Oryzias latipes: one gene and its partners. The protein of the gene in region 3 interacts with the protein of the main gene of each other region in a pairwise test. Links are inferred from orthologs where the notes say so. Each region holds a gene or a part of one and is shown on either strand. Other genes may lie near its edges.

Region 1 (4,650 bases), on a different chromosome or scaffold from region 3:
TAGTTTTATTTTTATGCAAGTTTGTTTGAAAGACTTCAATTCCAGACCTCCAGCTGTCTCCTGCCGTGTCTCTCATTGCATCTTGAAGGTTTTGGGATGAAGGTCTCATCCAAGCAGGCGTGTTAAAAAGCTGTAAACTCTCATTTGCACTCAAAGCATTTTAGCCACGACTTTCACCTCTTTCTGACAACAAACATGAACGTTTAAATGTAATCATGTTTGCGTTTTTGAGTAATTTTTCATTTGCATCCGTTGTAACAAGAACTCATTTAGGCCCTTTTAACCCTTTAAAGTCTGTTTCTGACTGAATACTTTTGTATTATTTCGGATTCCCATCGCTGTCTTCTGTTTCATACATGGAAAACATTGCTTCCAACCTGCAAATATTGTCCCATGAAATGTTTGCGTTTTGTATAGGTAGACGATCCTTTCTGTATTGGAATTGTTTTTATATGTGAACTGTTATTTTTATTTTATTACAATAATTTAGGAAGTGAATAAATCTATTTCACAGAAGTTTTTTCTCGATCTCTGCTGCGTTTTCTCCGGTGGAAACTTCAAATCTGTTTTTGGGCAGCATCTGACCGTGTTTCAGACGTGGTTTCTGCGTGACTGAAGAACCATGAAAATGTTTCAGCTGCGCTGAAGCTGATGATCCTGCAGTAAAAGCAGAGAAACCGGTTTTGCTTTGACCGGTGGATCTGCGTTCTGACGTGAAACAGCAGCTCTTTTCTGCGTGAGCACTGAGGCATCGATGCTAAAAACAACAGGAGCCTGCAGGACTCAGGCAGAAGCTCAGTGCACGGCAACTCCAAACGCTGACCTTCAAAATAAAAGCTTCAACCTTTCAGCTGCCTTCGATGCCTTTTTTGTTTTTTGAACAAGGATAACAGAATTCTTTTCACATTAAAGAGTAAATCTTACTGCTTCATGAGGTAAATGTTTGTAGCTCGTCTGTATTCCAGTTATTTAATTCCTGTTGATCACGGATTGAGAACTGGAGACTTGCAGGCAGAGACCTAAGAAGACTTTAGACTTTTGAGGAATGTTTCAACATCTATTTACTGTCAAATGTGACGTTTTGACCAACGGCGCAGACTCCAGTGCAAACGTGCAGAAAAATAAAGAGTGAAAATAATTATAATATGCCTGAGAGGATAACCAGATATACTTCAAAGACCTTTGTTGTCACATTTGTGTTTGTATTTCTGTGTTGTTGCTGCTTCATCTCATTCACTGGTTGGTTTATAGTCATTTTTTAACAACAGAATTTTTATTTTCAAAAATCAAAACTTTAAACTCAACTTTGACTCTAAATAAGAAAAACAATCAGAAATTCAGCAAATGAGTAAAATTAAAATATTGATTAAAATATTCAAACTGATGTAAAAGTCAAACTAAATCTGATCCATAAAGGAAGTGCATCACAAACATCCATGCTGGAGAGTTTCCTGTCCATCCCACGGCGTGATAGACAGAGCATTTCTCTCTGAAGCAGTTGTCTTTTTTCTGCTCAGAGTTCCCCGTCTTCAGTTGGACTGAGGCTTTTATTCTGTTAGACTTCTGAAATCCTCTAGTTTGGCGTTTGGAAGGCCTCAGGCTCCATTTAGACTTTGTTTTTTCTGCCTGTTTAGCCTCCATGGCCTAAAATATCTGGAGCTGATGCTGCTCCTCCAGCTGGACCAACTGTGAAAACATCAGCAGGACTCTGTTCATCCATGACGGTTCATGAACCTCTGGAATTCAGAGAGAAGAGCGTGTCAGGAGGAGGAAAACGTACCACGACTCTCATGGTGTAGAATCAGCAGGAATTGAGGTTCTGTTCTCATGTTCCTTGTGTCAGCAGTAAAGGACCCACGACCATAGAATCCCCCTTTGACATGTAAAATCTGTGCAGTTTCATTTAATAATTTGTTTTCTGCTGTTCTTTTCCCGTCAAAGTTAATAAAAGTAATCCAGGTGTTGTGTAGTGCAGTTTACAGACTGTCCGATTAGGGATTTACTTTAAATAATTGTAATGGATTACATTTCAAATGTACTTGTTTCGTCCGATTAAGAGTGGATGACCTTTATTTTGTTGAGCTTCCTGCTTCAACTTGTGCTTTTATTTCGAAGTAGCAACCGGAAACGGGATGGTTTTTGACCGTTTCTAGCTGAGCGTTTGAAAAGAGGAGGAAAGTGGAATGTTTCCTTCCTCTCCATCTGTTGGTTGCGGGACTTCGTGGAGGTTTAGCTGGACTCTTTCGTGTTTGAAATCACCACAAAGCGGATTTTTTTCCCCGCCTGAGATTTTCTGCTCCGCGGGAGGAGCTGCAGGCCGATGCCGGCAGGTGATGATGGATGCCAGCGGGGATCCAGGTGAGGGGGGGGGCTGTCTGCGATTTTCTTGTTGAATTTCAGTTTAACCTTTTGAATGTCTGTGATAAAAAGTAAAACTTTTGAAACGGATGACCCTTTCTTCAGTCAGAACTCCTTGACAAAATTAGAAAAGTTTTACAGAAAAGGTTTCCCGGTCGAGTCTGACTGCAGAAGAATCTGGATCTTTATGATCCAAACCTGAGAGGAAACGTCTGACAAACGTGTGAACGGGAGTCCACATCAAAGCCGTCATGTCTTTGATGTTATCACGTGATCGGACTGTTTTTGCCAGTTCGTTTGGGTCTCAGGTGATTTGCTGCCTCGTGCAGGTGTTTCAGGTCGTTTCCATGTTGTGCTGTGACGTCAGCGTTCTTTAGGGATTGAGTAGCTGAAGAAGTTTCTTTAAACCAGTTTGGGGAGAGGAGGAAGTTTAAAGTCTCTTTGGGCTCCTTTGAAAAGCAGAAAAAGGTATGTAAAGGATGCAAAACGTCAACCAATCAGAGGTCCTGACCCAAGGTGACTTCATGGCTGAAAACCTTCACCTCACGGGAGAATTCTCACCTTTGTACGCAAACACTAAAGTTTACGCTTTTGCTGACATCAGATGAAGTTAAAAACGGCATGAATTCATCCAGATATCCGGGTTCCACAGCAACACCAGATCATCACATCACCACCACCGTGCTTTACACTTGGTGTTTGATTTTCTGCAGAAAACAAACAAGCAGATCAGGTTTGTTCAGATTCAGACTCGGACTCTTAAACCTCCCGGTAAATGTTCTTGATTTTCTGTGAAGTGACTGCAGTTTATGTGAAGCAACAGTTATTTCTCTGCTTGGACGGTTCTGTTGGAGATCTGCAGGATTTTCTTTTAAATAAACCCAAAACAGCTGCTTTTCCAGCTTCTAGAAAATAAAAATCATTTAGAAAACAGTTTGACCTGAGAATCATGAAAGCACGTGTTTTTAGGATGCAATAAATGATGTACAGCTGCTTTTTTTGGACAGCCAATCATTTCAGAGGCTCCCGGGTTTGGAAAGTGAAAGGTGGTGCTTATGCTCTGGGATCCACTACAAGTGTGAACATTATTTTCTGTTCTGATAAAAGAAAAAAAGGTTTTCCTCATAGAGTCAATATTTTCCCTGTTAGGTTGACGTCAACAGCATCTTAAGTTTGAATCCACATTTATTTCCTCATAAAAATGTTTCTTTTTTTGTTGGAGTGTTGGTTAAAGGGCACATCTGCATGGACAGAAGGGGTGGGGTCTATTGAAAACAGATGAGGGGAAAGGATGAGGTGCAGGAATGGAACCTGCAGCCAGACACACGTCTGATCTGCATCTGCGATGCTCGCCGTTCCTGGTTGGAGTCGCTGGAGGTCGGACGGTTTAAAGAGCGTGTTCAGAGTTAGACGGACATGCACTGAGGGAGGGGCGCCTTTCCTTCTGGAAAAACAACTCCCAGGAAGGATTGAGTCATTTTCAGGCTCTGAAACGAGCAGAGAGCGTCCGCTTCACCACAGGCTGCAGAGCTCTGATGAAATCCAGAGGCCAGTAAAGCCCCCCCCCCCCCCTTTAGGATCTTTACATTCGACTCAATGTCAAAAACTAGCAGTCATCATCCACCATCATGTCCTTCAGATAACTTTAAAAAGCTACAGACTCACATCTGGTTGGAGAAGATGCTGCTGAAATACACAAAAGCTTCAAATGAAGCCAAGTCTCTCAGGAACAGTTATTTACTATATTAAAAACTGTAAAAGGATTCAAGTTAGCGGTTGATGTATCTGGTTCTTTTGCAGCAGGATTTGTGGATCCAATCATCAGTTAGATTTGAGCCAAAGCTGGGAAGAACCACTTTGTTTGGAGGAGATCCGAGTGCAGTAACAGGATCAGGCCAGAAGGGGGAGCTCTTCTCCCAGTCCAACTGTAACACGTTCCCACCATGGAGGTCATTTATTTTGAAACTTTTACAATCTGTGCAGCCAAAGCAAACTATTGGTGCAGATTATTATTAAAGACCGTAACGCTTCTAGAGATTATATACAAACAAAAATAAATTAAATTATAATAACAATCATTCAGAATAAACGCGTAGGAGAAATGCCATTCAAGAGTTTGATGAGTTTTTGTGAAAAAGTTTTATAAAACAGAAAACAATCATTTTAGTAGAGACCAGTGATCATAAGAAATGAATATTGAAAAATAAAATAAAATCATAGAGTATAACTATACTAGTTAATACTGTTAATCTTCATGTACAAAACATGTTTTAAAATGTTAATTAAAAACAA
Region 2 (4,849 bases), on a different chromosome or scaffold from region 3:
CAAAATAGAAACTAAAGTAAAGCAACACAAGATAATTTATTGTCCCCTGGCCGATGGTTTAGTGCTGAATATCAGGCCTCTGCTGACTGGCATGCATTCTTGTGTCAGGCCTGGTTCCCTCAGCACTGGTAACTCAAAGCATAACATCAAATTAATGAAGCAAATTATAATAAAGTAAGCTGAAACGTGTTAATCAATTTTATGTTCAAATGTGTGTGTGAAAAAGAAATCTAAAAGTATATGCGAAAAGATATAGTGAACGGATATATGTAGGGTGCGGTGCAGGAGGTTACTGCTCTGATGGGGTGGCAGCGTAGGCAGCCATCACACACTTCCTGCAGCTCCCCTGGGAGAATCCCAAGGCGAGCAGAGAGACGTAGTCCCTCAAACGTGTCCTGGGTCTTTCCCAGGTCTCCGCCCAGTGGGAAATGCCCGGAACACCTCCCCAGGGAGGAGTCCAGGAGACATCTGGATGCTTTTGGTTTTAAGCAGCTTTGAATGGGCTTGGTTGATTTCAACTTGTTAAAAAAATTCTCTTCAAATTGTAAAGCAAAGTGGTTTCAGTGAACAAAAAACCTTTGAAGTACATTTGACTTGAATGATTGACATCAGAGAGGAAAACCATGATCCGTGTTTTACCATCAACATTTAAAGCTCAACACTGTCTAATGTGGTTTTGTAATATCCAAAACATACAATATATAGTGTGTCTCATTCAAAAAAATATGTGTGAGTGAGTGTAAATTAAGCAGTTTTATAATTTTTAGATTCATATTCTTGTTGTTTTTTTTTTGTTTTATAAATTTCACTCACAGATTTCTGCAAAAGCTCCACACCAACCATGAAAAGTTATTAATTTTTAGGCAAAGTTAATAATCTAAATATTTTCATTCATGCAACCAATTTGAGAACAGCTTTTACTTTGAAAGACCTGTCACAGAGGCCATCAGTTCTACAGATTACAGCATCTACTGACTTATTCTGCGTTTACCAGAACAACAGGTTGGTTTTTAGTCTTCCTGAAGGGGCTATTTTTCATTTTTGTTAAATCAAACTCAAGGATTCAGCAGCAACTTTTGACAATATCACCAACCTGAAGGAACACACCGTGTCCGTCATTGACTACATTAAGAAATGTGTGGATGATGTGACAGTGGTCAAGACCGTCAGGAAGAAATCAAATTGCAAACCATGACTAACAGGAGACGTTTGTTCCTTGTTGAGAGCTTGGAACATGGCTTTTAAATAAGGAGATGCAGCAGCGTACAGTCTGGCAAGGACGAACCTGTCACAGGGGATTAGAGGGGCAAAGAAGCTGTACACACAAAAACTGAACAGCCACTTCATGTGTGAGAAAGAGACAATATGCCGGAACAACCGCCCTTTACCCCTTGTGCTATCCCATGGGGTCCAGATGACCCCACCCTTACATTGACGTGTTCTCCCTACCATGACAAAGGTGGATAAAGGCAGAAAGATTTCATGTAATCCATGGACACCAGTCGAGATCACAAATTTAGCGCACTGTCTTGTGGGGTCTAGATGACCCCACTACCAATGTTAAAGTGCCAAGGATAGCACAAGGGTTACCAGAGGAACTGAACAACTTCTACGCATGGTTTGATGTTTACAGCACCATCCAGGCACAGATGCTGCTGCTGTGATCCAGCAACACAGCATTACAGCCATCAACCGCAAAGCGGCTGGCCCGGACAACATCCCTGGACAGGCTCTGAAAGACTGCATGGAGCAATTGAAAGATTTATTCAGCGAGATCTTTAACACATCACTCAGACAGGAATTTATACCCACCTGTCTTTAAACTGCTGTCATTACTCCAGTCCCAAAGATGTCTGATCCAAACGTATTTTGCCCCGTGGCCTTCACACCCATTGTGACCAAATGTCTTGTGCGCTTGGTTCTGAAGCACATCAAGAAGAGTCTTCCAATAAATATGGACCCTTTACAACTTGCATCTTCAGTAAATAGATTTACTGAAGATGCCATCTCCACTGCTCTCCACCTGATCCTGTCACATCTGGAGAGGAAAAACACCTATGCTAGAGTCCTCTTCATCGACTTCAGCTCGGCTTTTAACACCATCATTCCACAGCAACTGGTGGAGAAGCTGAAGGCAATCTGCAATTGGATGCTGAGTTTACTGACAGACGGGCTGCAGACAGTCAAGATCAACACACACATCAAGGCCCATGTCATCGAGCACAGGCACACCACAAGGGTGTGTCCTGAGCCCACTGCTGTTCAGTCTGCTCACGCATGACTGCACAGCTAGGTACAGCACCAACCACATTGTCAAATTTACGGACGGCACAACAGTAATTGGTCTCATAAACGACAATGATGAGTCTGCTTACAGAATGGAGGTGGGGCAGCTAGCAGTGTGGTGTGAATGACATAATCTCCAGATCAATGGTGATCGACTTCAGGGCATCTGGCAATTACCACAACACACATCCGACCATAAATGGTGTTGCTGTGGAGAAGTTCCTGGGGGTGCATCTCACTCCAACTCCACTCCTCCAACTCCAAAATGACCACCAGAAAAGCACAAAAGCCTCCATCCCCTCCAGAGACTCAAGAAGGCAGGAATTCCAACACCTCGCCTCATCACCTTCTACAACGGCACCAATGAAAACGTGTTGACACAGAGCCTTACATGCTGGTTTGGCAGCTGCAAGGTTCAGGACCAACAACCGGTCAGCGAGATTGTTGGAGCCCATACCACCATACGCAGAGTAAGCTTCCTCATTAGGGACCCTCCGCTTCTCTGTCATGGGGTGTTCTTCCTTATGCCATCTGGGAAAAGGTTCAAGAGTATCAGCAGCAGATCCAGCGGGATAGTAAAATCTTCTTTTCACAAGCAGTGAGACTGCTACATAGACTGTCCTCCTCCTGCATACATGCTCTCACAAACTCCACACCGCAATCAGACCCAATAAACTACCCCCACCCTCTGCACCACCCAAAGACACAATATATACTGCTGCTAAATGCAGATACTAACTTTAAGGATTGAATGCTGGTTTCTATTTTTTTGACATTTTATTTTAGTTGATTGCTATTTTATTCTATTTTATTGCTATATTTTCTTTTGCACTGTCATATTAGTGAGGAAAAACATCTGGTCTCACCTGTGTATTCCTCTGCAAATACTATGAGTGAAATAAATGACAATACATTAATCTGGAATTCAAGCATTCAAGGATTTTATTTGGTATTATTTAACCACAGGGTGAATTCAAATTTGTTGATCTGGTCCCAGCCAATTAAAGTGGAAATATGCCAAGTAGAAAACAACAAGAAATGTATATATAAATCCCTTACATCGGTAACATGAGTACAGATCCTATCGAATATTGGATAAATGTAGTATTGTGGCACTTTACTGGGACTTTCACAAAAAGATGCAAGAACAGAAATCAACAATTAAACCACAGCAGGAAAATGACATGTTAATAAAAAAACAATGCAACTTGGTAAGAAGAAAAACAATTGATAAGATGCCAAACAAGAGCTTTAAACTCAGGGTGAAATGAACTAGTGTTGACTTATCAAACACAAACTCACAGCTGGTTCCTGGATACTTCCTTCCTTCCTGGTCCAGGAAATACCAGGAACAAGGACTTTGAGCTAAGAAAAGTAGAGGAGAAGAAAGTCATCTGAGAAAAGAGCTCTGCGAGGTTCACACTCGGAAATCCCAAAATGCCAGGTGATCTAGAATAATCCAGCCTTGATTGGTAAATCTGGAGAATTACACAAACACATTTAAAAAATGTTGCTGCAACTAAAAGGCTCCATTCTTTGGTAATCCCCAGGTTCCGCACAGCGACTCCAAAGTAATCAGGATGTTTGAAATGATGAAGAACTCTGATTTCCTGGCTCCTCACAGCAGGAGTTGATATCAAAACAGAGCAGACGAACGGTCCAATTCTTCAGTGAAAAGGATTGGAGTTTTGGAAAAGTGAGGTAAAAACATTCCACGTTCCAGGATTGAATGCAGACTGGTGCTACAGAGAAAAGGGAAAAACTCAAGGACTTTCCAGTTTGGGTTTACTGGTTGCTCTCCGGAGCTTCTGTCAAAGCTGTCCTGTGATGCAGCAGCAGCTGGTAGTACAACGCCCCCCGGTGGTCTCACGTGGGAAATCTGCCTTTAATCTGCCAGGGGCCATTTTGAAGCAGAGATAACACGTCTGACTGGTGGGAGTCAAGTGTGAGACACAAACAAGGAGGAAGCCAAAACACAGATAGATACACTAAATGATGAAAAAGCCTCCTAACCTGAAATGTATCTTTCCTAAAAATTAGTTTTAAACATTTGAATTGTTCCTGTTTAAACAATTGACTCTTTAATTAAAGTATGCATATAAATGAGAGTTACAGACTATTTTTGCTTCAAAATAGAAAAGCATTAAAAAGGGGAGGAGCAGAAAGTGAATACAACACAATCATTTTTTTTTACTTGTATTAGATTTGAAGCAATTGACATAATTTCAACAAGATTATTAGAAAACCGTTTATTTGCTTTATGGAATATTATTCCAGTATTTCAGCAATAAAACTCCGTTTTATTGCTGAAATGTGTCTGTGATTCGACTGAAATTATGTTCTGTGATTTCTATTTAGGATTATAAATTCGAATTATAGACGGATGATGAAGGATCACTTCTATTTTGAGTCTAATCTGGGTCGTTTTGGGTCAAGTGCGGGTTTGCCCCGTGCAGGTTTCGACTGGTTGAGTCATCTTGGCGCCGTAAATAGGATTTTCAGCCCAAAATATGCGACAAAGGAAGCTGATGACAAACACCTGTCCAGGTGAAAACTCTGATTA
Region 3 (4,574 bases):
ATAATTAATACGACGGCTTTATATTTTAAACAATAACAAAAAAAGAGAGAACAAATCGACGTCCTGCAGAAATTTAGCTAACATATAAACCCACGACAGGCAAAATGTTTGCATGAAGCATGACGTTTTAGTATAAAAACAAATGCGGGGGTTTGGAGACGAAAACACGAAGCTGCTTTGTGTTGAAGTAGGTCGCGCCGAAAACACGTCATCATCAAGAGACAGTAGTCTGTGGAACTGTTTTTTCAACAACTTTATTGTAATTTTTTTTAGCAGAATACAAAAAAACTAGTGAAAATTAAATTATATAAAAAACATAACATAATACAGACTTATAGCAAAAACGGTGGCAAAGAAAAACAAGTAACATAAATACTTAGGTGTAAAATAGGCTAAGTATGCTTTATGTAAATAGTTTTTAAGATTCACAAATGTTAATAATCTTATTGAAAAGGAGCCTGTTGTCATATTTTGTTCTTTTCTCAGTTTGAAGAGAAAAACCACCAAAAACATTGTTATGATAAGAAGCTAGTCTTGAAGAATGATGGGTAATGTAGTCTCTAGTAATAGTAGTATTCCATTTTACACATCCTCATAATCATTGTTAATTTGTTTTTGTACACCTTATATCTCCTCCTTATATCAGCTTAATCTCTTTTGTGCTTATAAATTCCTTCTATTACACTTTTATTTTTAAATTGAATTTTTATCCTTTTTACGGATGTTATAAAGTTCTTATTCTCATTTATGTTTATTTTGTATTTTTGTTGTTGAGGTAAAATTGTTTTTTAGGAGACAACTGTTTTACCTGTCCAGGTACGACAGATGATAAATAACCTTTTGGCTAACTTTGGTGAATTTGCAAAGATGCATTTTCATGTGCAAAAGGTTATCTTGTCAAATAAACTAATAAAATAAATAAATCCTTAATACACATTTTACATGCTGTATTATACAGGTGAAATTGATCCGATGTTAGAAGAACGAAAACGTTCATTATTAATCATGTATAATTTATGGTAATTAACATACAAGTCATGTATTATATTGTAACGATCCGGCCGGACCGTCACTTTAGTGGGGTAGCGAAAGCCTACTGCTCATGAAGAGGTTCTAATGGATAGCTGTCCGTGCCCCATACACCGTACGACACATTACAGTCTCAAGTTGGAAGAAACGTAGAGAGAGGCAATATTAGTTTTTATGCAACAAGCCTGTTTATTCTAGCACACCATACAGCCCAAACAGCACGGAGCCTAACTTCAGCTTCCAGCCCTCTGACTCAAGGTTTCACCTAAGCTCCCCACTTCCCATGAGCCTTAGGGGCTGAAGGCGGGGCTAACCCCCAGGTCGCTACAATATGTTAATGTATTAATTATGTTTAATTGGTTATTATTAAATATTTCATTTTTTTGTTTCTATTTTTATCCAATATTTTTACAATTTAAGAAAAGGAAAACAACGGACGCATTAGTGTTAATTGGAACCGGAAGTTGATTTCACACCTGCCTGTTCACAACAAAACTCAGTAGACGAAACCGGAAGTAGCTGGGAAATGTAGTCTCGGTCTGGCCCGGTCCTCTGCACTGTCGTCTAAGAATGGCGGCTGCGGGAATAAACAAGCAGGGCACCGTGGTGACGATGGAGCCCTGCTTTCGACACGGGAGGGGGGCGAACGGAAGCACCGTTAAGGTTCTGATCGTGACTTTTATTTTCTGATTAGAGTCGGACTCCTGCGGCGGGGCAGCATCAGAGTCGAGGGCAGGGAGGCTAGCAGGATGAAGAAGAAGAAGCCGCTGCGTTGGCGTAGCCTGTGGATGTTAAACGTGTAAAATAGTGCAGCGTGCATCTCTTTATTCATTATAACACTGTTTTTAACTATAATGAATGAGACCTGCTTAATTCTAGAGCATTTAAAAGGCTGGTTTGGTGTTTGCGACACATTTGAGGTGCGAAGGCTAGGTGCCACTAGCTTAAAGTTAAAGTAGCTATAAATTTAGAAAAAATGCTTCAGATTACATTTTATATTGTTTATTTGCTGAAAAGTCTAATGCGTTGGTGGCGAAACGAGCAGCAGCTGTTTCCTGCAGCGTGGAAAAATGTTTCCACTCGGTGTCCGTCCCTTTTTCAGGTGCTGGAGTGCGGAGTTTGTGAGGACGTCTTCTCCCTCCAAGGCGACAAGGTCCCCCGCCTGCTGCTCTGCGGTCACACGGTGTGCCACGACTGCCTGACCCGGCTGCCCCTGCACGGCAGGGCGGTCCGCTGCCCCTTTGACAGACAGGTCACGGAGCTGGGTGAGTCCGGGTTGCTATGGCTACCGCGCCTCACCCATCTCAGTGGACTAGCGGTAGAGTGTCCGCCCCTGAGACAGGAAGGTCTTTGGTTCAAAAACCCCCTGCTTAACCCTCAGCATTGAACCACAGAATGGATCCAGAGTGCAGATGTGTCTGCGGCTCACCGCCTCCATAAGTTAGCAACTCACGTAAAGCTAACATATGCAGAGTTGTGCATGAGACGCTGAGAATGCAATCTTCATCAGTAGAGCAACAGTTGAGCTTTGTGTTGGCACCTCTTCTTAAAACAGACGTTTTCTTTCTTCACGTCTGCTCAGGAGATTCGGGGGTTTGGGGCCTAAAGAAGAACTTTGCGCTGCTCGAACTCCTGGAGCGACTCCAGAATGGAGCCACCAACCAGTCAGGAATGTCTGAGGACGCCCTGAAGGGCATGGGAGAAGTGAGTGGGTGGGTGGGGACTTGTGCTTTGCCTCTGTAGTTTCTTCTCTTCGCACTCATTCCTCCCCCCCTTAATCCAGTGTATAATACGGTGTGACGAAGACGAGAGCCACACAGCCTCCGTGTACTGCACCGTGTGCGCCACCCACCTGTGTGGCGAGTGCTCCCAGCTCACCCACTCCACTCGCACGCTGGCCAAACACCGCCGCGTGCCGCTGGCCGATAAGCCTCACGAGAAGATGCTCTGCCCCCAGCATCAGGTCCATGCTATCGAGTTTGTGTGCCTGGAGGAGGCGTGTCAGTCCGGGCCTCTCATGTGCTGCGTCTGCAAGGAGTATGGCAAGCACCAGGGACATAAGGTAGGCGAAGGCGTCCTTTCAGGGTCAGGATCTTGATCTGAAATGCTAATGCGTATCATTTTTCTCTTTTAGCACGCTCTCCTTGAGTCTGAGGCCAATCAGATCCGAGCTTCTATCCTGGACATGGCCCACTGCATCCGCAGCTTCACAGACGAAGTGTCCGAGTACTCCAGGAAGCTGGTGGGCATCGTGCAGCAGATAGAAGGAGGAGAACAGATCGTGGAGGATGGCGTAGGCATGGCGCACACCGAGCATGTGAGAAAACCTCGCATCCATCAGTGTGAAACCATGACTCCAGAGTTTCCCCTATCGTGACCTCTTTTTGTTTTTTTGTTTTCCTTCTCGTCAGATTCCCGGCACAGCAGAGAGCGCGCGCTCCTGCGTCCGGGCTTACTTCTCAGACCTCCACGAGACTCTGTGTCGGCAGGAGGAGATGGCGCTGAGTGTGGTGGACGCCCACGTTCGGGAGAGGCTCATCTGGCTGAGGCAGCAGCAGGAGGACATGACCATCCTGCTGTCGCAGGTCTCCACCGCCTGCCTGCACTGCGAGAAGACTCTTCAGCAGGTAGCTGTGCTTCAGATCCCAGCTCACAAGTCTGTTTTCCTTCTGGCAGGTTTAGGTTTCTTTCTTGCATCATTTCGATAACTTTAATTTGGAATTCTGACACACGCTCAAGTACATTTTATCTATAAATACATGTTTATTTTTTTAAATACATGTCATTTCGTGTTTTGCTATTTTTTAAACTGCCTTACAAGCTTCGGGTGAATTAGCATTAAACTTTTTTTGCATTTATTTTTACATTTCGGTGGCCCAGAAGGGTCACAACACAACACATTAACTTTACACACAACACATTAACTCACAACACAACACAATAACTCACAACACATTAACTCACAACACAACACATTAACTCACAACACAACACATTAACTCACAACACAACACAATAACTCAACACATTAACTCATAACACAACACATTAACTCACAACACATTAACTCACAACACAACACAATAACTCACAACACAACACATTAACTCACAACACAACACAATAACTCACAACACAACACATTAACTCACAACACAACACATTAACTCACAACACAACACAATAACTCACAACACATTAACTCATAACACAACACATTAACTCACAACACATTAACTCACAACACAAAACAATAACTCACAACACAACACATTAACTCACAACACAACACATTAACTCACAACACAACACAATAACTCACAACACAACACATTAACTCACAACACATTAACTCACAACACAACACAATAACTCACAACACAACACATTAACTCACAACACAACACATTAACTCACAACACAACACAATAACTCACAACACATTAACTCATAACACAACACATTAACTCACAACACATTAACTCACAACACAACACAATAACTCACAACACAACACATTAACTCACAACACAACACAATAACTC
Region 4 (4,747 bases), on a different chromosome or scaffold from region 3:
CCACGTCCTCGTCTGCATCCCACTTTCGGGTGAGGAACGGCCTCTTCCTGCTGATGATCTCCCCGGCGAAAAAAGTGGTCAGGGTCGGATATTCCTACGAAAATGTGCAACTGGATTATACCAACAATCTTGTTTTGTAAACTTTACAGCGTTAAGGCTAGGTTATCGCTATGTATAAATCATTAATAGAAAATTAAGACGTTTAAAAATATTCTAAGCAAATCGATCCCTTAATTAAAAATATCTGCACTTCAGAGGCAGAACAAAACAAAAAACTATGTAGAATTATTTGGCTCACGATCAGTTGGACTAATATTTAGTCATTGCAAGAAAAATTACACAAAAGGTGGAGGAAAAACTTGCAAAAACATTTAAAATTCTAAGTCCAGTTCATCCACATGTACATATTCCAACATGAATCCTCTAAATATGAACAGAACTGACCTCTGTGAGTCCTTTTATTTTCAAATAGCCACACAAGTAGGAATCCTCCATTGTGACATGCTGTAACAAATAATAAACAGAACTTTTAGGTCAAATCTCCACTGAATTTATGTTAAAAAAAATAACAAAAACAAAACTTGACGGTCAGAAGCTGCAGTTTCTCAAAAAATGTCAACAGCCCCTAATGTTGCAACATTTAAGCTAGTTGTGATAGTTTGTGTTAATTTAAACTGGTAGAAAATTGTGCAGCTGGTTGTTGTTAGTCGGTGTTGTTTGGGCGCAGTTGCTCTGCTACTCCCACCACTACACCCACAGTTGGTCCAGGACAGGCCGGGACCCCCTTTTTTTTTCAGCTGTCACTCTTCCAGCCGCCACTTTGACACATCACCCGAAAGCCTCGCGCTCGCAGTACGAAAAGCAACATTTCCGCCTCGGTGCCCCCCACCTGTAAGACCACCTCAACGTCGTAGGAGTTCCCTTTGCTTTTCTGGTGGCCTCTGAACTTGGAGCCGCTGTACAGCAGCGACGTGACAACACCGGGCTGGTGAGTGTTTATCGGCGGCAGCGGGATAAGCGAGGCCGAGGATGCAAAGGCCGCGGCCGGGAACTCGCTGAGATATCCAGCGGGGACAGGCATAGCTCCAGCTTCGCAGGCTGAACTCCAACCGCGGTCAACGGCCGTGCGGCAGCGGGACTCGGTCAACCTGTACGACCAGCCAGAAAGAAAGTCCCGAGGAGGTCCTCAAACATTCAAATTGCTCTTAATTGCGCCACAGTTCAGTTTGCGAAGCATCAAGCTCCCCAGAACTAAAAGTGGACTTCGAAGCTGCGCTGTAACCAGTAGCAACGGCTTATCTCATTGGTCCAACAACTTCACCCTCGAAGATCGTCGACGCTCATTGGCTGAGCAGGCGGAAGAGTATTCGTGAACATTTTTGATGTAGTTTTTAAGTGATGTGTAAGCGTTAGCAGTGCCAAAAATAAACTACATTTCCCAAAGCATGCAATGAAAACATTTTGTAGCTTTGTAGCATCGAAGGTCACACGCGTGGTTTTGAACCGATGTGTTACTGTAAGCTAGATGAAAACCTTAATGTTTAACAACAGATTTATTGTAGAGTCAGGTTCATTATACACTCAAGATCTGTTTGTTCAATGTGGTACTTTAGTGCGTGAGAGACCGGCTTAAGAAATCGCTAGTGAATCGTCTTTTTTATTGTAAACAGTATACGTCCAAATTTAGGTATGAATATGTTTAGACGTGTTTTTCAACTTCGAAATTCCTTTGGAAATGTAATTTCAGTTTGCAAGTCGTGTCCCAGTCATCAGTACTCCAAGTGTTTGTCAAAATACTCCACTGCATCTACAGGTAAACGTGTTTATTTTGACATTACTATTATTAATTATCAATATGCTGTGTGCTAATCATGTGCTACATGTTTTGCTATTTGACAGAGAGGAAGAGATTTTATCAAGATGTCAGCATATCTCAAGGAGATGGTGAGTCTTATTTAAAATTTAAAATAATTTTATTTATTGTTCCAGGGAAGACCAAGATTGATTATATTCTCTAATTTTGTGACGATTTTGTCCATAGATGGTTTGTATGAAATAAATCTGGATAGAAGGAAACTCAAAACTCCAGGAGGGAAGCTGTTCACAGTACCAAATGAAGCCCTGGCTATCGCCGTGGCAACAGAGTGGGATGCTCAGAGGGGGACACTCAAGTTTTATACCATGCACCTTGTATGGGATATTTTTTCTGACCTATTTACACCACAGTGTGTAGCCAGCCGTACTCATATGCCGGTTGAACTTTTCTTGCAGACCACTTTGTGCAACACGGCTCTGGACAACCCCACCCAACGCAACAAGGAGCAAATGATCAATTCAGCGTTGAAGTTTTTGGAGACTGACACGATCTGGTATGGATTTAGCTTTTATACTGTTTCTGTCCAGAGTTGATGATTATTTGGCTCATTTATGCCGGTTACTCAGTTTAAAAGATAAAACACCTGTATTTCAAATCAATATTTTACTTGAATGGAGAAAAAATGTTCTTAATCTAGAGAGAAAAGCAACAAGGACTTCAAAATAAAAGCACCTAACAGAAATACCAAAACAATAGAAAATTCAAAATTAGGTTTGTTTAGATAAAAAGTACCCAAACAAATCCTGGACTTGTGAGATGCAACTACATCTAATATGTTTTTTTTTTTTTCTATTTCTCTTTGTAAAAAATAAAACGTTATCTGCCATTCTGTGCTCTTTTTTTGCAATTTTTTTTGCAAATAATAGTCAAAATGCAATTACTTTTTAGCTTTTTGAAAATGTTCGAACCTATTAATATAATTTAGACTTTTTTTTTCATTATTATAAATTATACTTGTATAATGAGATATATTGTTTAACTGTCAACTATGTATTAGATAATCCCTTTAGTTCTTTAAATTTATATATTACATATTTATTTATTTCCCTTGTCTTTTTAACTTTTTACACATATTTAAAAAAAACTTATTATCTTATTCAGAATTTAATTTAAACATTTTATTGTGGTCCTGAAATATTCAACTTCTTTACACTTGTCTGCTTAATTGTTTTATGGATACCTTAGTAGTTTTAGCAAACAGATTTGCATCAGTCTTTTATTTACAATTATTATGTTTTAGCTACTTTATTGTGTAGGTGTGAATTTGTAATACATTTATTGGCACTATATATCTTTTTACATTTTCTATTTACTTTAGCATATTAGCTTAGGATTTAGCAACGTTCACTTTCTTAATTTCTTTAGCTAATTAACAATTTTATTTTACTGTTTTTTTGTGTTGATCCTTTTGTTATTGTGATTATTATTAATAATTATGCAGTGTATTTTTAGTTATCTCCCTTTATTTGACTAATGTAGCATTTTGCACTAAACTGTAATGCCACTGTAAAAGAAAGCAGATGTTTTTAGCTTATTGCAGAAAACTAGCATTTTTGTTTATGGAAATAAAATAAAAGAAATGAATTTTGGAACTTCTATGAATTTCATATACTAGATATTTGCAGGAGAAACTTTTTTTTCTCGGTCCATTGTCAGATGATTCCAGACTCCAAAGCATTAAAAATAAAGAATTACTGTGAAAATGAATGCAACAAACTTTTTCTTTGACCTAATTTCTTTAATAGGACCATCATTGTCTGGCCAGTAAAGTGAAAGCAAGGTCTGTTTTGTTTTCACCGGAGATGGTTGCCATATACCTGACTGTGGAGCAGGCTGTGCTGCTCTCTTATAGCATCTGCCATTTGGCTGCCTCTTTTTTTTAAGTTTCATTTTCAGATTAAGTTACCTTGTTGTCACAAAACAGTGATTTATTTATGCTTTGATTCAGTTACAGAGTGGAGGATCCTCCTGGTTTAGTGGACCTACAGAAGAACGAGTGGGATCCGGTTCTGCACTGGATTGAAAACCGGTAAAAAAAATAAAACAAAAGCATTAATCTTCACATCTTGTGCAGTAGACTTCCAAATGATGTAGGAACTGTCTCAGTAAACCATACATTATTATGCATTTTCTCTGTACTATTGCATGGCAGATACAATGTCACTATTGGATCTTCATCGAGCATTCTGGGTCCTGAAATTCCACAGGCAACCAAGGAAACTTTTCGACAGCATCTCAATTCTTACAGCCTCTGGTCCCTGACGGGTAAGACATCTCAACTCCAGAAAACGTGATCATCTATAGATCTCAACTTGTGCAGGCTGAGATGATGTATTTATTGTTTTTGAAATGTTTAAGAATTGTGTCTGTTTCTTTGCAGGACTTGAGTTTGTGATCTCGCAGCTGAAGTCTATTTTGCTTTCACTGGGGATGGTTGACCGATACCTGACAGTGGAGCAGGCGGTGCTGCTCTCCAGACTGGAGGAAGAATACCAGGTGGGAAAAGTCCATTTGATTTACCATCAATCTTTTATAATATTTACTATACTAAGACTTTTTTGTTTGATTTTTGTCTGTTTTAAGAAACAGATATTATTCTATTAATACAATGATATCTAACTATGTAGTGGGAAAAAAAAACCCCATTGTAACTAGGTTTATTTTATATCAAATTTGTTTTTTGAATATCTGTTGTTTAATGCTCTTTTCTTGAGTTCAGAACTCTGTTTTTCTTATTGCAGATAAGTCACTGGGGAAACGTAGAATGGGCTCATGACTACGACATGTATGAGCTCAGGGCGCGGACTGCTGCTGGAGCTCTTTTCATTCAGCTTTCATCTGAGAATTTAACCGTCAAACACAAAATTATGC
Region 5 (4,081 bases), on a different chromosome or scaffold from region 3:
ACATGAACATTTGTGCTCATGAGAGGATGAAAGCACAGAGAATAAATTAAAGACTGTTACTCAAATGATGGCAGCTGGATTGTAGAAAAAAGAGATGAATTTCAAAAAAAGTACAAAAATGTTTTTATCATGTATAAATGAACTGTTTAAACCCACAAAGAAGAGTTTCTCTAACCAAACAAAATATAATGATTTAAAGACTCACTGTGATCCTCTTTTTGATCTATTTTTAATTGTGAAAATGCAGTTTTTAGCCAAAATCCATAAACCGTGTGGGTTTTTTTCTAGGACATAGTTTCTGCAGAGCAGCAGTAGTTCAAAGGTTCATTCACCTTTGAGTTGTGGGTGGGACTAGCTTTCAGCCCCTCACCTAACATTTCCGGCGTGACAAAAATGGCGAGCAATATCGGAGCTATCGGGCCGTCCAGTTTGGATCCAGATTCCAGCTCAGACAAGGAAAACGAAGGCGTTCATGGATCTGCAGGTGGATGCATCAGAATGGAGCAGAGCAGGAAGCTTGTAGCCCGCCTGAGACCATCTTTTTCAATCGACATTTTTTCCTCTGCTCCAGCTATTTATATAAAGAAATACTCAAAAATGCATTTTTATGCTTAATTTTCTTTATACATTTTTTTCAACATCAGAAAAATGTCTCCGAAAAGACCAAAAGTACCATTTTCATTGGATTAGATCCTTAAATCTGACGTCATGTTTTATAATAATCCATCAACAGTTACCGCTCAATTTGTATTTTAGTAAAAAGTTCTATAAAAACTTAACAAAACAATAAAAAAATAGAGTTTATTGATGTAAGTTTCCTTCCTGTAGTTGAACACAGTTTGACAGATCCTCTCAGGCAAAGAAGCTCTGAGATCTTCAGGGTTCTTAAACGGGGACCATTAATACCAAAGCAAAGCCTTGTTCTTGTTCTACATTTAAAGTTCAGCATGTGAGGATCTGAGGGTTCTAGATGATCTGTGATGGGCCATTTAGTCTGATACATATGGACTGATCCAAATAAATAAGAACAGGTTTTTTCATTCCTACAGTTTCTTTTATGCAGATGGTCTGTCTGTTTTATGAGCAGCTGCATTCATCAAACACCTGCAGCTCCATTCACAGGTCACCTGAATCCCTCCTGCAGTTACTCATCCTGTAAACAAACCAGAAGAAAGAGATGATGGAGCTTTTCAATAACTTCAGCTGCAGTTTTATGAGACTCTCAGCGTCAGACAGTGGGAGCCCAGAAGAGTCCCTGCTTTTTTTGTTCTTCGGGAACAACTTGAGCTCTATTTATTTGATTTCTTCTTCCAGATTATCTCTCAGTAAAGTTCAGATCTGTACTCCCGCCGTCTGATGATTCCTCATCATAAAAATGGAAATTAAATTCAAACGATAAAGTTTTGAGCCACATCCATTCACACGAGTCAGTAAGAACTGGTGACATAATTTTTTTGTTTCTCATTTTAGAATAATCTTTGTTCATCTTCATTTTACCTGCATTGTGTTACAAAATAATCATAATCATATTCAATCTTCTTAAATGACACTTTGCAGATTTAAAAACTCAATGAATTTGGTTACTAATAAAATAACTAAAAAAAATTTAACTAGATGTTATTAAAAATGATTTGAAAGGAAAAAACACCTATTGTTTAAAAAAAAAAAAAGACCCAGAAATGACAGTGGGGAGAGTCCACGATGCCCTCATCTGCTTGAGCGTTCAGAAGCCTGCAGTTTTAGAAAAACAGCAAGATTGTCTCACGTCAGTCACAAGAAGAAATGCAAAGTTTCTCTGCCTGCTCAGTATTCTGTTATGAGGCACAGATTTGAATGGTGGATGATAGAGACCAGTAAAATGAATCCCAGTATAATCGGCTGTGAATTGTTCAAAACTCGGCTGCTGGCCTTTTAACCACAAAGAAGGAGCACATGACACCAATTTTGAAATGTCTGCACTGGCTCCCTGTCAGATTCTTTCATTAGTCTTAAGGCACTGCTTTTAGTTTATGATCCTCCCGGAGCCCTCAGGTACACGTCTACTGGGGTCAGAACAAAAACCCACGGCGAGGCCTCATTCCAGAACCGTGAGCCTCGCCTGCAGAACAGACGTGAGGGCCTCGACTAATGTGGACAGTTTTTAAGAAAAGCTGTAATCATTTTAGCTGCTATTAAGTAAGTTTTACCTTTTCGTCTGTTGCTGTTGTGCCCTGTCAGCTTTGTTTTGGAATCTTTTATTGATTTCATGGGGCGTTTCTTTTGTTTCAGATGGGTTTGATGTGCATATGTGGTGGATTATTATTTATTCATGATGTAAAAAGCACTTTGAGGTGCTGCTCAACTGGAAATGTGCTCTACAGATAACGTTGAATTTGGAAACATACTGTTGATATGTGCTGAAAATCTCTGAGCAAAAGGCCTTTATGGTTTCATTCCTCCTTAAGTGTTTTATCCCCTACTGAAGTCGGCAGAGGTTCATGGGCGTTTTGTTTCTCCTCAGCAGTTCGCTCCCCCCTGCAGAAGCAGCAGTCGCTGCCCGTGCGTCCCATCATCCCTCTGGTGGCTCGCATCTCTGACCAGAATGCTTCAGGAGCCCCCCCCATGACGGTGCGGGAGAAAAACCGGCTGGACAAATTCAAGCAGCTGCTGGCGAGTCCCAACACTGACCTCGGTACTGCGGCGCCGCAGACACCTCCTTGTAGATCTCAGTCAGCACATCAGGAGTGTCACTTTTGAGTGTTTGAACAGCTGTTGCAGTTTGTCCACCTCTGCTGTGAGGTCTGCAGAGAAAACCCGGAATGACTGAGGTCCTCTCTCCTCCCTCCCTCTCACAGAGGAACTCCGGAAGCATAGCTGGTCTGGAATACCGAGAGAAGTCCGGCCGATCACCTGGAGACTTCTATCTGTAAGGCTCCCAACCTGCAGTGTGCAACGTTTATCAGTCTAAACCTCTCCCCTAACCCATCGGAAACATCATCTTCTTTTTTTCTGCCCTTGACCTTCTTACAGGGATACCTGCCTGCCAACAAGGAGCGCAGAGAGCTGGTGCTCCGCCGAAAGCGGGAGGAATACTTTGGTTTCATTGAGCAGTATTATCACTCCAGAACAGATGAGCACTTTAAAGACACGTACAGACAGGTGAGGCAGAACTTTAGTCCACACAGAAGACAAACCTCTGACCTTCTGGCAATAATCTTTTGGACCCTCTTTCTGTCAGATCCACATCGACATTCCGAGAACCAACCCTCTGATTCCGCTGTTCCAGCAGCCCGCCGTGCAAGAGGTTAGATGTGCGCGAAAGGCCTCTTTGTCTTTAAATGGAAAAGTTCACCGTTTTGTCTCGGCGTGTTTGGGTTCATCTGTTCAGCATCAGTCAGTGGCTCAATCAGCTCAGTGTCAGCTCCCTGCAGCCTCCACCACACCAGTCTGAAAAGACGTCATCCGCAATCTAAAGTGAGACCGGAACAAGAGCAGACTGTGCTTTTTCCTGTTTCACAGCTCGTCTTAAGCAGAAATGACGTGGTGCATGTGGTGACCGCAGAGGAAGAAGCTGCATCTGATACCAAACCTCAGAGGAACTCTGCTGTCAGAGACGATCTGCACTGACCTCAGCTCGTTCCTCAAACGTGGCTTCAAGCTGATCCAAATTTAGATTTGTGAGAAATGATTCAACCTCAGTTTTATCGCAGCACAACTGACATAGTTTGATTTTGTTTTGAAGCAAACATGTTAAACACTTAAAAACAGGAACTTCACCAAAAACATTTGACAAGTATTTTGGTTTATTCAAACTCTCAAACTTCAGGTGAGCAACACATTATGTTCTGATGGAGTCTGTGACTCTGCCCCTCCCACATTGCCATGACAAAAGCAAGACTTGCTGCAAAAGCTGTGGCCCCCTGACCTTCAGGGAGTCCAAGTTTTAGTTTTTTGTGTATTACACCCTTAAAGTTCTGTTTACCCAAACAGTGAAGCAGGTCACACATTTAGCAGAGCTAAAAAAACAACATTTGAACAATTTAAAGCAAAATCAATAAACGTTTGAGTAAATATGGAAGGCCTGTAATACAAACTTTTATTT
Region 6 (4,081 bases), about 4.7 Mb from region 3:
AGCTATAAACGACTCACAGATTCTGCATTTGAGGAAGTACAAAGCCCTGAATTTCATCAATACGATCACAGTTTAAAAACCTAAATTTAATTAAACACTATCGTAAAATAACAAGTCAAAATAATTACATAGTTGGATCTGTAAAGCTTTATTTCCTGAAAGTACCTGTAGTCAAATTGATCCAAATCTTTTCTGTTGGTGTCATTCTTTTGTTACAAGGAGAAATGTAATGCAGAACCTGGAGGGGAAAAAAAGTAATACAACCTTTACTTATTAATCTTAAATTCTAATTAAGATCTCTCTTAATCCAAGACTTTTTCATGTTTTTGCTTATTAAATTTAAGCCAAAAAAGGATAAACCTAAGGTTTTTTAGTAGTTCCAAAAAAAGTAATTTGTCAATTTTTAAGTCTTTTTAATCTTTATATTGACTTGGCTTAGATTTTATCCAAGGGGATCCAGTGCTGTAGTGAATTTAGTTTCCATTTAACATGGTTTAAAGAAAACAACAATTTTTTAACTACATTTAACAACAACAAGGCAGTACATTTTATTAATAAATGAACAAAACAGACTTAAATGTACTCTGAATTACTTTTGTTGATGTAGTTATAGGGGCAGATAAAACACGTTTTCTTCCTTCTGCTCCTTTTATCTTAAATTTAAAAAAAAAGAGCAAATTAAAACTGAAGTATTGATCAAGTTTTAGCTGGTAACAAGCCGTTTTTGATGATTACATACTTCCATCTGTACATTTTAGACAGTAACCCCAATATGATTTTTTTTAGGGATGAAAACATTTTAAACCCTCCTGTGACATTAAAACTGTAAACCTTCGGTCAGATTGCACCCTGAGAGTCATTTGAGTTGTGAACTTTATGTCAACTGAAAATGTGCATGCATATGCATATGCGCATATATATTTATAAAATAAATATTTTACAAGTATTTCTATATTTAAACAAACAAAACCAAAAAAAAGTGCTTCTTTTTTTCTTGTGCGATATCCATGATTGCAAGGTTATCCATGTCTAAGAGAACGCACGTCTCTGTGATTTGACACCAAGACAATGGAATTTGGTGGGAAAAGCCTAATCTCGTCTCAAAGATATCCACCTCTGTGAAGAAAAAACATTTAAAAATGTAACTAAGATTTCAATATTTACACATGCACATGTTTTTTTTTACAGGTGAAGACTGGGTGTTATTTGGGGCTCTTGTATGAGAACATGGAAATAAAAGAAAAGAGAAGAAAACATGTAATGTAGATCAAATTATTAAATATCTTTTGGGTATTTTAGGTTCCTTTTTTTTTTTTTTTTTTACAACACAGTGGTTAAGATTCTGTCAAATGAGTTGTTCAATCGTAAAAAAAAAAAAAAAAGGAAGTAGTTTGATTTAATGAAGAAGCACTGCATGCCATTTTTTTTTCTTTTGCAGTCATCTCAAAACTACTTTTAGTCATGTTCTAAAATGGAAAAGATTACCCTGTAAACTCTTCTAAAATGCACTTGCAGTAATACTTTGAAACAAAATGTTTTTCGTTGACTTTATACCTGTGAAAATCCTTATCCAGTGGTAACACTTGCATCAACAAAGCAGGAAAAACTTCAAGTAATAAATCGTTTTTATGCACAATGATCCTATCAATGTTATCTTAATTGCAAGGGCATGCATTCTGAGCCCCAAAAAAGGTCAAATTTAGTCTCGTGCATGCATCAATAGACAAACTCATGGTTATCTTACTGGCCAAACATAACCAAACGGATAAACCTCCAGTCTTTAGGGTTCAGTGCACATTTCAGGTTTACATCTTTCACGCCTGCGTTTGCAGCAACTTGTACAGACATACAACACAAAGCTTGTTAATGAACCCTTGTTGCTGTCGTTTACACTAAAGCAGATAAAAGTCTTGACTAAACTTTAGCGTTTAGTCCCCTGCAGCATTGTGGGTCGTAACGCAGGAGGCCGTCTGCCTGCCATAACCAGTAAAGCGGTACATGACGTATAGCCACTACAGCAGCCACGGAGACACCACATCTACCAACAACGTCTTAGTAATGGTTTGTTTTCCAAAATGCCCAAACACTGAAGATCAAACTGAAGGATTTGAAGGTTCCTCCTCTTATAGCCTGGCATCAACTTAACACGTTGCTACATTTACAAAGTGCTCACAATGCGGCTTCTTCACCAAGGTGCAAATTCCTCAGCTTCATGTAAGGGCTGGAATCAAGAAGGAACCAGAAGACCTGAAAAGATGAAAAAACAAATAACGCAAAATGAAAAACTAGGAGCCAACTTTCAACAAGTTCAGCTCTGTTTATTGGCCCCTTCTTGGAAACATCTGTAGAACTATTTCTCTCCGCTGGCAAGAAGGAATTTGTGAGCTGCAGAAAGTCGTAAAGTTTTTGCTTCAAGGTTACATGAAGCTCAGAGCAGCTCACAAATGCAAGTCACTCCACATGGAGATGTTCAGAGAAATGTGTGTTACTCTACTTTCACCTGCTCTGGAGTCATTTTTGCCTGAATTGTCTTGACTGCTAAGTTAGTAACTTCCATTCCTCCTTGCAGAGCTGGTAAACGTGAGTTAGAGGGCGTGTGTTATTCACACATGTCCTTTTCAAGGCTGCCCGTAAGCTTTCTATTTCTTTATGATTAAAGACATACTCCACGCACTATTTGATCTACTCTAAAAGCGCTCCCTCTGGTACTTCAAATGTGATTATGCTATTTTTAGCCAAGACAAAAAAATCCTGTGTTGTTTTCTAGGACAACTGCATAGCACCAGTAGTTAATCAGAAAATCACCCTCTGAGGGTGGGCGGGACCCTTGGCACGGGGCAATCCTACCCCACTTCCTGTCAACAATAAGGGAGCTCTCTGTGAGCAGTGCGACCTATCCAGGTGCACAGTTTGGAGCTCGGAAGAGGAAAACCAAGACGTACGTGTGGATGCATCAGAATGGAGCGGAGGAGGTAGGCTCCGGCCCGGCCAGCGTATTTTTTACGTCACAATTAAGCTATTTTTTGTCTCAGAATTGCAATTTTAAATCTTAATTTTCCTTTATTTTCCTATTGATTTTTTAATTTTCCTAATTTTCCTAACAAAAACATGCTTAAGAACACCAAATTATCATCGGAGTGGGTCTTTAAATGGAATTTTAGAAAATCGGAAAAGCTGTCCCTTTGTCTTGCTTCTCCACAAAGATTTATGGAGGCAGATTTTGGCACAAATTACTGTTTGTAATCAAATATTTTAAGTATTTTTTTCCTTTTGAGGTAAGTCCTAAAAAAGTTCAAAGTAAAAGCATTTTTCTACCTCTTAAGAACTTCTTCTCAAGGGCCTTTATGGATAAAAAGTTTTACATTTATGTCTTGAAAAGTTCACAAATGTGTCTTAATTTCAGTGTAAGAGCATCTAAAACCGTGCAGAAAACAAACTTCCAACCTCTGTATTTATTTCAAAGTGCTCTCGTCTCTGCTTCAATCTTCCTCTCTCCGTGGAGGCTGTCGGGGTCAGCTGGAGCCACGGTTTGCCTCACTGCAATCTCTGGTCCGCCTCCATAAATGCCCAAAAGGTACTGCCACGTCTCCTCTGAGATCTGACCATAATCTGCGCCTAATTAAGAAAAAATAAAAAAGTTATATCTTCATTTTTCACACATCAGTATCCATCGGTGCTGGTGTTCACCTTGCTTCAGCTGTATGTGTCCTCCCTTCATCACACAAATTTTACTATTGTCGATGGGACCAGGCGGCTCTGAGATGGCACACAAAAAATTCATTTATTTTTTTAAATTAAGAAAAGTAAAGAAATAGGATTGACAAATTCATTTGGAAGTGATACCGTTGTCTTTCCCCTTTACAAAACTCTCCCACTCCCTGAACCACTGCATACTGATGCACAAAATGACTGTGGGAGCCTCCTCAGCCTGGAACTCTTTGTTTAGCTACAAACAACAAAAACACGGTCAATGCAATAAAAAGCACTAAGATGGATTTAAAAAAAGAAAAACTCTCAGAAAACGGCAATTACCTTGATGAAAGTGTCTATTTCAGTTTTCCTGCGTTTGGCCAACGTTTCG
Region 7 (3,621 bases), on a different chromosome or scaffold from region 3:
TTTAATTTTATGGCTACTCTTAACCACACTTTCTCACCTTTGCATCGATGCAGTATCGACCTCATTAAATAAAAGTTATCTGAATTTTAGAGGATTTATTTTAAAAGCTTCAATCGACACAAACATTGAAACAAACTGTTTCCACTCGCTTCACGTCCTCAACTCGACAACACGCAGCCATTTCTTCAGATTCTTTGCAAAAGCTACGCACCAAACGCGCCTTTAAAACAAAACAGCTGCAGTTGGTTTTAATTTACAGCAGATGCATGGCGCCCGACAGACCGAGCTTGACAAATCTCAAATAGCATCAAAATATTCAGTCTATAGAGAGAAAAAGACTGAAAGAGGAAGAAGAAAAGTTCAGATCGAGTGGAGTGGAGTGAGACCTGCTTTATATTTGGCTGAGCTTATAGCTCTTTGTAAGCGCACTTATTTTGTAAGGTTACTAAGTTTGCTTTTTGCAGACTTGGAACCATTTATTTAACATTTAGTCCTTTTCGTTTAAAGGCTTTACTTTGATTTGATGTGATTTATTGGTTTATTTTAGACTCTCAGACAACAACAGAACTCATTACAGAAATAAAAAAACGTATGAAGATGCCTCCCTCTTTAAAATCTAATTACTCATAATAATATATGGAAATGTTTACTGTAAGGCATAAACACATAGGCCACATTAGATTAATTAAATATGATAATTAGAATATAATTATTAATTATAATTAGTTTGATTTATTGCTTGAGAGGGAAGAAGCGAACTTACAGCTGCGCACCTTTATCTGACCATCAGCGGGTTCAAATGTTTTTATGCTTTTCTGACCTTTTTAGGTTATTTGTTTGATCTTAACCAGAGACAAACTTCAATGTCATTTTAAGCTTTCATTTCAATATGTATCCGTTTGTCTTGTTCTCAATTAGTGTAGTTTAGTTGAATCAAAATGGATTTTGTGATTCAATGAGAAAATCCCCAAAAAAACTCGTTCATCAATACTTATGAAAAAAGTAAGATGTACATTCCAGTGTTAGACGTTGCGACGTTTTCTTTTTACAGATTTAAGGTGAATATTTTTCTTATTATAACATTTTTTTAAAATGTTTTTCTAGAAACTAATATTATTAGGTAAAAATGTATTTTCATAATTGAAAAGGATAAAGTTCAATTTAGAAATATTATAATTCGCCTTCGTTATTTTTTTTTAACATTGTAAAGAAATGTTGGCAACTTTAATAAACCTTTATTTGAACAGATAAAAAATACAATTAAAAATTACAATTACATTTTTATTATTAAAAACCAGAAAATGACGTCCGCCTTTTTAAGTTTATGGTTTTTTATATAATTATTAGTTATGAATATTTTTTTGAACACAAGTGTGGGTTCTTTGATGAAGTGGGAAACCCAAATAATATTTTTTAAAATTTTTATTTAACGTGATATAGTAACAATGGTAACGGCTCTGGTGACACCCCACTGTTTTGCATTGCGCACTAACGCGCACGTGTCTTCCAGGTGTGGTTCAAAAACCGCCGCGCCAAGTGGAGGAAGCGCGAACGGAACCAGCAGATGGACCTGTGCAAGAACAGCTACCTGCCGCAGTTCAGCGGCCTCATGCAGCCCTACGACGACATGTACCCGGCCTACACCTACAACAACTGGACCAACAAGGGCCTCGCGCCGGCGCCGCTCTCCACCAAGAACTTCACCTTCTTTAACTCCATGAGTCCGCTCACCTCGCAGTCCATGTTCTCTGCGCCCAACTCCATCTCCTCCATGACCATGGCCTCCGGGATGGGGCATTCCGCCGTGCCGGGCATGCCCACCCCGGGTCTGAACAACATCAGCAACCTGAACGGGATCGGAACGTCCGGCATCAACTCGGCCATGTCGTCGTCCGCCTGTCCTTACGGGCCTCCCGGCTCCCCGTACAGCGTTTACCGGGACACGTGCAACTCGAGCCTGGCAACTCTCAGACTGAAGTCCAAACAGCATCCGACTTTTGGATACAGCGGCCTGCAGAGCCCTGGCTCCAGCCTGAACGCCTGCCAGTACAACAGCTGACGGGCTTGATGTTACAAACCCGAGGACGCCAACACAATCAAACAGCCCAACTGGATTATTGCAATCATGTTCTGAAAGAAAACAAAGGATCATGCGGGTTACACGTTTACCTGTGAACTTACACAGCAATTCAATTGAAATGTATTGATTTTTTATTATAAGGACTTGTTACATTTGCTGCACTGTACATATGTAAATGTAAATATATATACAGGTCTAATAAGATGATTTTTTTTGCCTTTTTCTTGCTTGTTTTTGCAGACCTTTGTGCAGAGGACTAGACCGAAACAAGAATTTAAAACTAAATGTCGACCTTAAAAGAACCATAGAAAAAAAACACCTTGTGCATATTTGATACTGTCTGCTTTCTGTTTTGTGCACATGCGTGGTTCAAGTATGCGCCTGCGGTTCCCAAATGCTTTCCATTCATCCAGAAACAGAACATGGGGAAAACAAACCCACTTGTTTAAACTGACGTGCTTTGTACAATAATGTAATATTTTGCAAAAACTAATTTGCTTTAAGTGTATTCCAAACATGATTCATGTGTTTACGGTGTTTGTTTGAATAAACTCCAGCTGAAGAGGTTTATTCCAAGAAGCTTTTAGGGGAGTCATTGTTTGGCGCTCTGCTTTTTCCAAAGAACAGGTGCAGAAAATAGCGCAGGAAATCTGTCCAATTAATTTAAAATGATTAAAGTAAAAGAGTCGGACGATTTTTAAAAGATCACAGCTTCTTTGTTTTCTTTTCTAAAGTCTAAAATTCACGTGGTTTGTGGGTTGTTTTTTTTCCAGTTTTTTTTTCACCCACCCTGCAGATATTGGTTTTACGCATTTTGCTCACTGATTGCAGGTCAAAGTAATACGCATTTGTCAGTGTTTAATACAAAATAAAACATGTTGACACGTTTGACTTAAGAAAACATTAAATGTTCTTACTGTTGCATGCGGTTAAAACGTTAAAGTTTATTTCAGACATTTTGACTGAGCCTCAGATTGAACTCGTGGCGCAAAAACCCAGTTGAGTTTCGCACCTGCGCGCTTCGTCTTCAAACGTGTTTTATGGCTCTTTAAGGTCAAAGCACAGACGACTGATTTTTGGATTCAATTGCAATGTTTTAGAAACAAATGTTTTCAACTATTGGAGCAAAATAAAATGCCGGTTTACTGCGAGTCAAACTTGGAATCAGTCGGAAGCATATCTTGTTTTTTGACACTTGCAGGAATCCCCATATCTATATTACTAACCATTAGACTGATATTAGCGGCAGCGCAGCAATAACTGTGTGTTTATGCTGATAGTGACTAGATCCAAATGTAAAGCCCGCGCTTTGATGAACCATTACACAGGATTCTGACAGCACACAGCGCACTTTTGCTGCTTAAGTGTGCGAAAATTGGTGTAAAGAAGCGTTTGAACGTCAATTTTTATTTTTTTATTTTAATTTTAATTATAAAACTTGTCTTTTTATGCATTTCTACATTTATCTCCTACTTTTTCCTCAAAACTATTTGGAGTCAAGAATCTTCGTTAAACACGGATTCTGTAACGCTTAAAAAACA

The links.
Region 1: the proteins of trim23 (region 3) and arhgef3 interact in binary tests that used the Homo sapiens proteins (3 or more experiments, as listed by UniProt). The link is inferred for Oryzias latipes from reciprocal best matches to the Homo sapiens genes TRIM23 and ARHGEF3.
Region 2: the proteins of trim23 (region 3) and PHD finger protein 1 interact in binary tests that used the Homo sapiens proteins (3 or more experiments, as listed by UniProt). The two-hybrid records come from large-scale screens. The link is inferred for Oryzias latipes from reciprocal best matches to the Homo sapiens genes TRIM23 and PHF1.
Region 4: the proteins of trim23 (region 3) and atpaf2 interact in binary tests that used the Homo sapiens proteins (3 or more experiments, as listed by UniProt). The two-hybrid records come from large-scale screens. The link is inferred for Oryzias latipes from reciprocal best matches to the Homo sapiens genes TRIM23 and ATPAF2.
Region 5: the proteins of trim23 (region 3) and tbc1d22b interact in binary tests that used the Homo sapiens proteins (3 or more experiments, as listed by UniProt). The link is inferred for Oryzias latipes from reciprocal best matches to the Homo sapiens genes TRIM23 and TBC1D22B.
Region 6: the proteins of trim23 (region 3) and usp20 interact in binary tests that used the Homo sapiens proteins (3 or more experiments, as listed by UniProt). The link is inferred for Oryzias latipes from reciprocal best matches to the Homo sapiens genes TRIM23 and USP20.
Region 7: the proteins of trim23 (region 3) and pitx1 interact in binary tests that used the Homo sapiens proteins (3 or more experiments, as listed by UniProt). The link is inferred for Oryzias latipes from reciprocal best matches to the Homo sapiens genes TRIM23 and PITX1.

The regions. Positions count from the first base shown.
Region 1 is NC_019863.2:32,612,841-32,617,490, forward strand, and holds the start of arhgef3 (rho guanine nucleotide exchange factor 3), read left to right. Parts: upstream 1-1,433; 5' UTR 1,434-2,320; coding exon 2,321-2,358; intron 2,359-4,650. UniProt on the Homo sapiens protein: Acts as a guanine nucleotide exchange factor (GEF) for RhoA and RhoB GTPases.
Region 2 is NC_019874.2:28,769,705-28,774,553, forward strand, and holds the start of PHD finger protein 1, read left to right. Parts: upstream 1-1,564; 5' UTR 1,565-3,730; intron 3,731-3,836; 5' UTR 3,837-3,987; intron 3,988-4,849. UniProt on the Homo sapiens protein: Polycomb group (PcG) that specifically binds histone H3 trimethylated at 'Lys-36' (H3K36me3) and recruits the PRC2 complex. Involved in DNA damage response and is recruited at double-strand breaks (DSBs).
Region 3 is NC_019870.2:3,058,396-3,062,969, reverse strand, and holds the start of trim23 (E3 ubiquitin-protein ligase TRIM23), read left to right. Parts: upstream 1-1,547; 5' UTR 1,548-1,599; coding exon 1,600-1,692; intron 1,693-1,803; exon of another isoform or gene 1,804-1,828; intron 1,829-2,131; coding exon 2,132-2,294; intron 2,295-2,611; coding exon 2,612-2,733; intron 2,734-2,812; coding exon 2,813-3,091; intron 3,092-3,163; coding exon 3,164-3,346; intron 3,347-3,440; coding exon 3,441-3,656; intron 3,657-4,574.
Region 4 is NC_019877.2:3,256,384-3,261,130, forward strand, and holds the start of atpaf2 (ATP synthase mitochondrial F1 complex assembly factor 2), read left to right. Parts: upstream 1-1,445; 5' UTR 1,446-1,689; coding exon 1,690-1,813; intron 1,814-1,899; coding exon 1,900-1,944; intron 1,945-2,041; coding exon 2,042-2,190; intron 2,191-2,271; coding exon 2,272-2,369; intron 2,370-3,824; coding exon 3,825-3,905; intron 3,906-4,028; coding exon 4,029-4,141; intron 4,142-4,256; coding exon 4,257-4,372; intron 4,373-4,617; coding exon 4,618-4,747. Other genes in the region: gid4 (glucose-induced degradation protein 4 homolog), read right to left, coding at 1-94, 445-504, 890-1,081. UniProt on the Homo sapiens protein: Plays a role in the assembly of the F1 component of the mitochondrial ATP synthase (ATPase).
Region 5 is NC_019865.2:4,883,111-4,887,191, reverse strand, and holds part of tbc1d22b (TBC1 domain family member 22B), read left to right. Parts: intron 1-2,500; coding exon 2,501-2,671; intron 2,672-2,834; coding exon 2,835-2,905; intron 2,906-3,009; coding exon 3,010-3,138; intron 3,139-3,217; coding exon 3,218-3,283; intron 3,284-4,081. UniProt on the Homo sapiens protein: May act as a GTPase-activating protein for Rab family protein(s).
Region 6 is NC_019870.2:7,738,760-7,742,840, forward strand, and holds part of usp20 (ubiquitin carboxyl-terminal hydrolase 20), read right to left. Parts: coding exon 4,033-4,081; intron 3,947-4,032; coding exon 3,844-3,946; intron 3,757-3,843; coding exon 3,688-3,756; intron 3,616-3,687; coding exon 3,458-3,615; 3' UTR 3,445-3,457; intron 2,248-3,444; 3' UTR 1-2,247.
Region 7 is NC_019872.2:3,654,846-3,658,466, forward strand, and holds the end of pitx1 (pituitary homeobox 1), read left to right. Parts: intron 1-1,510; coding exon 1,511-2,059; 3' UTR 2,060-2,784; downstream 2,785-3,621. UniProt on the Homo sapiens protein: Sequence-specific transcription factor that binds gene promoters and activates their transcription. May play a role in the development of anterior structures, and in particular, the brain and facies and in specifying the identity or structure of hindlimb.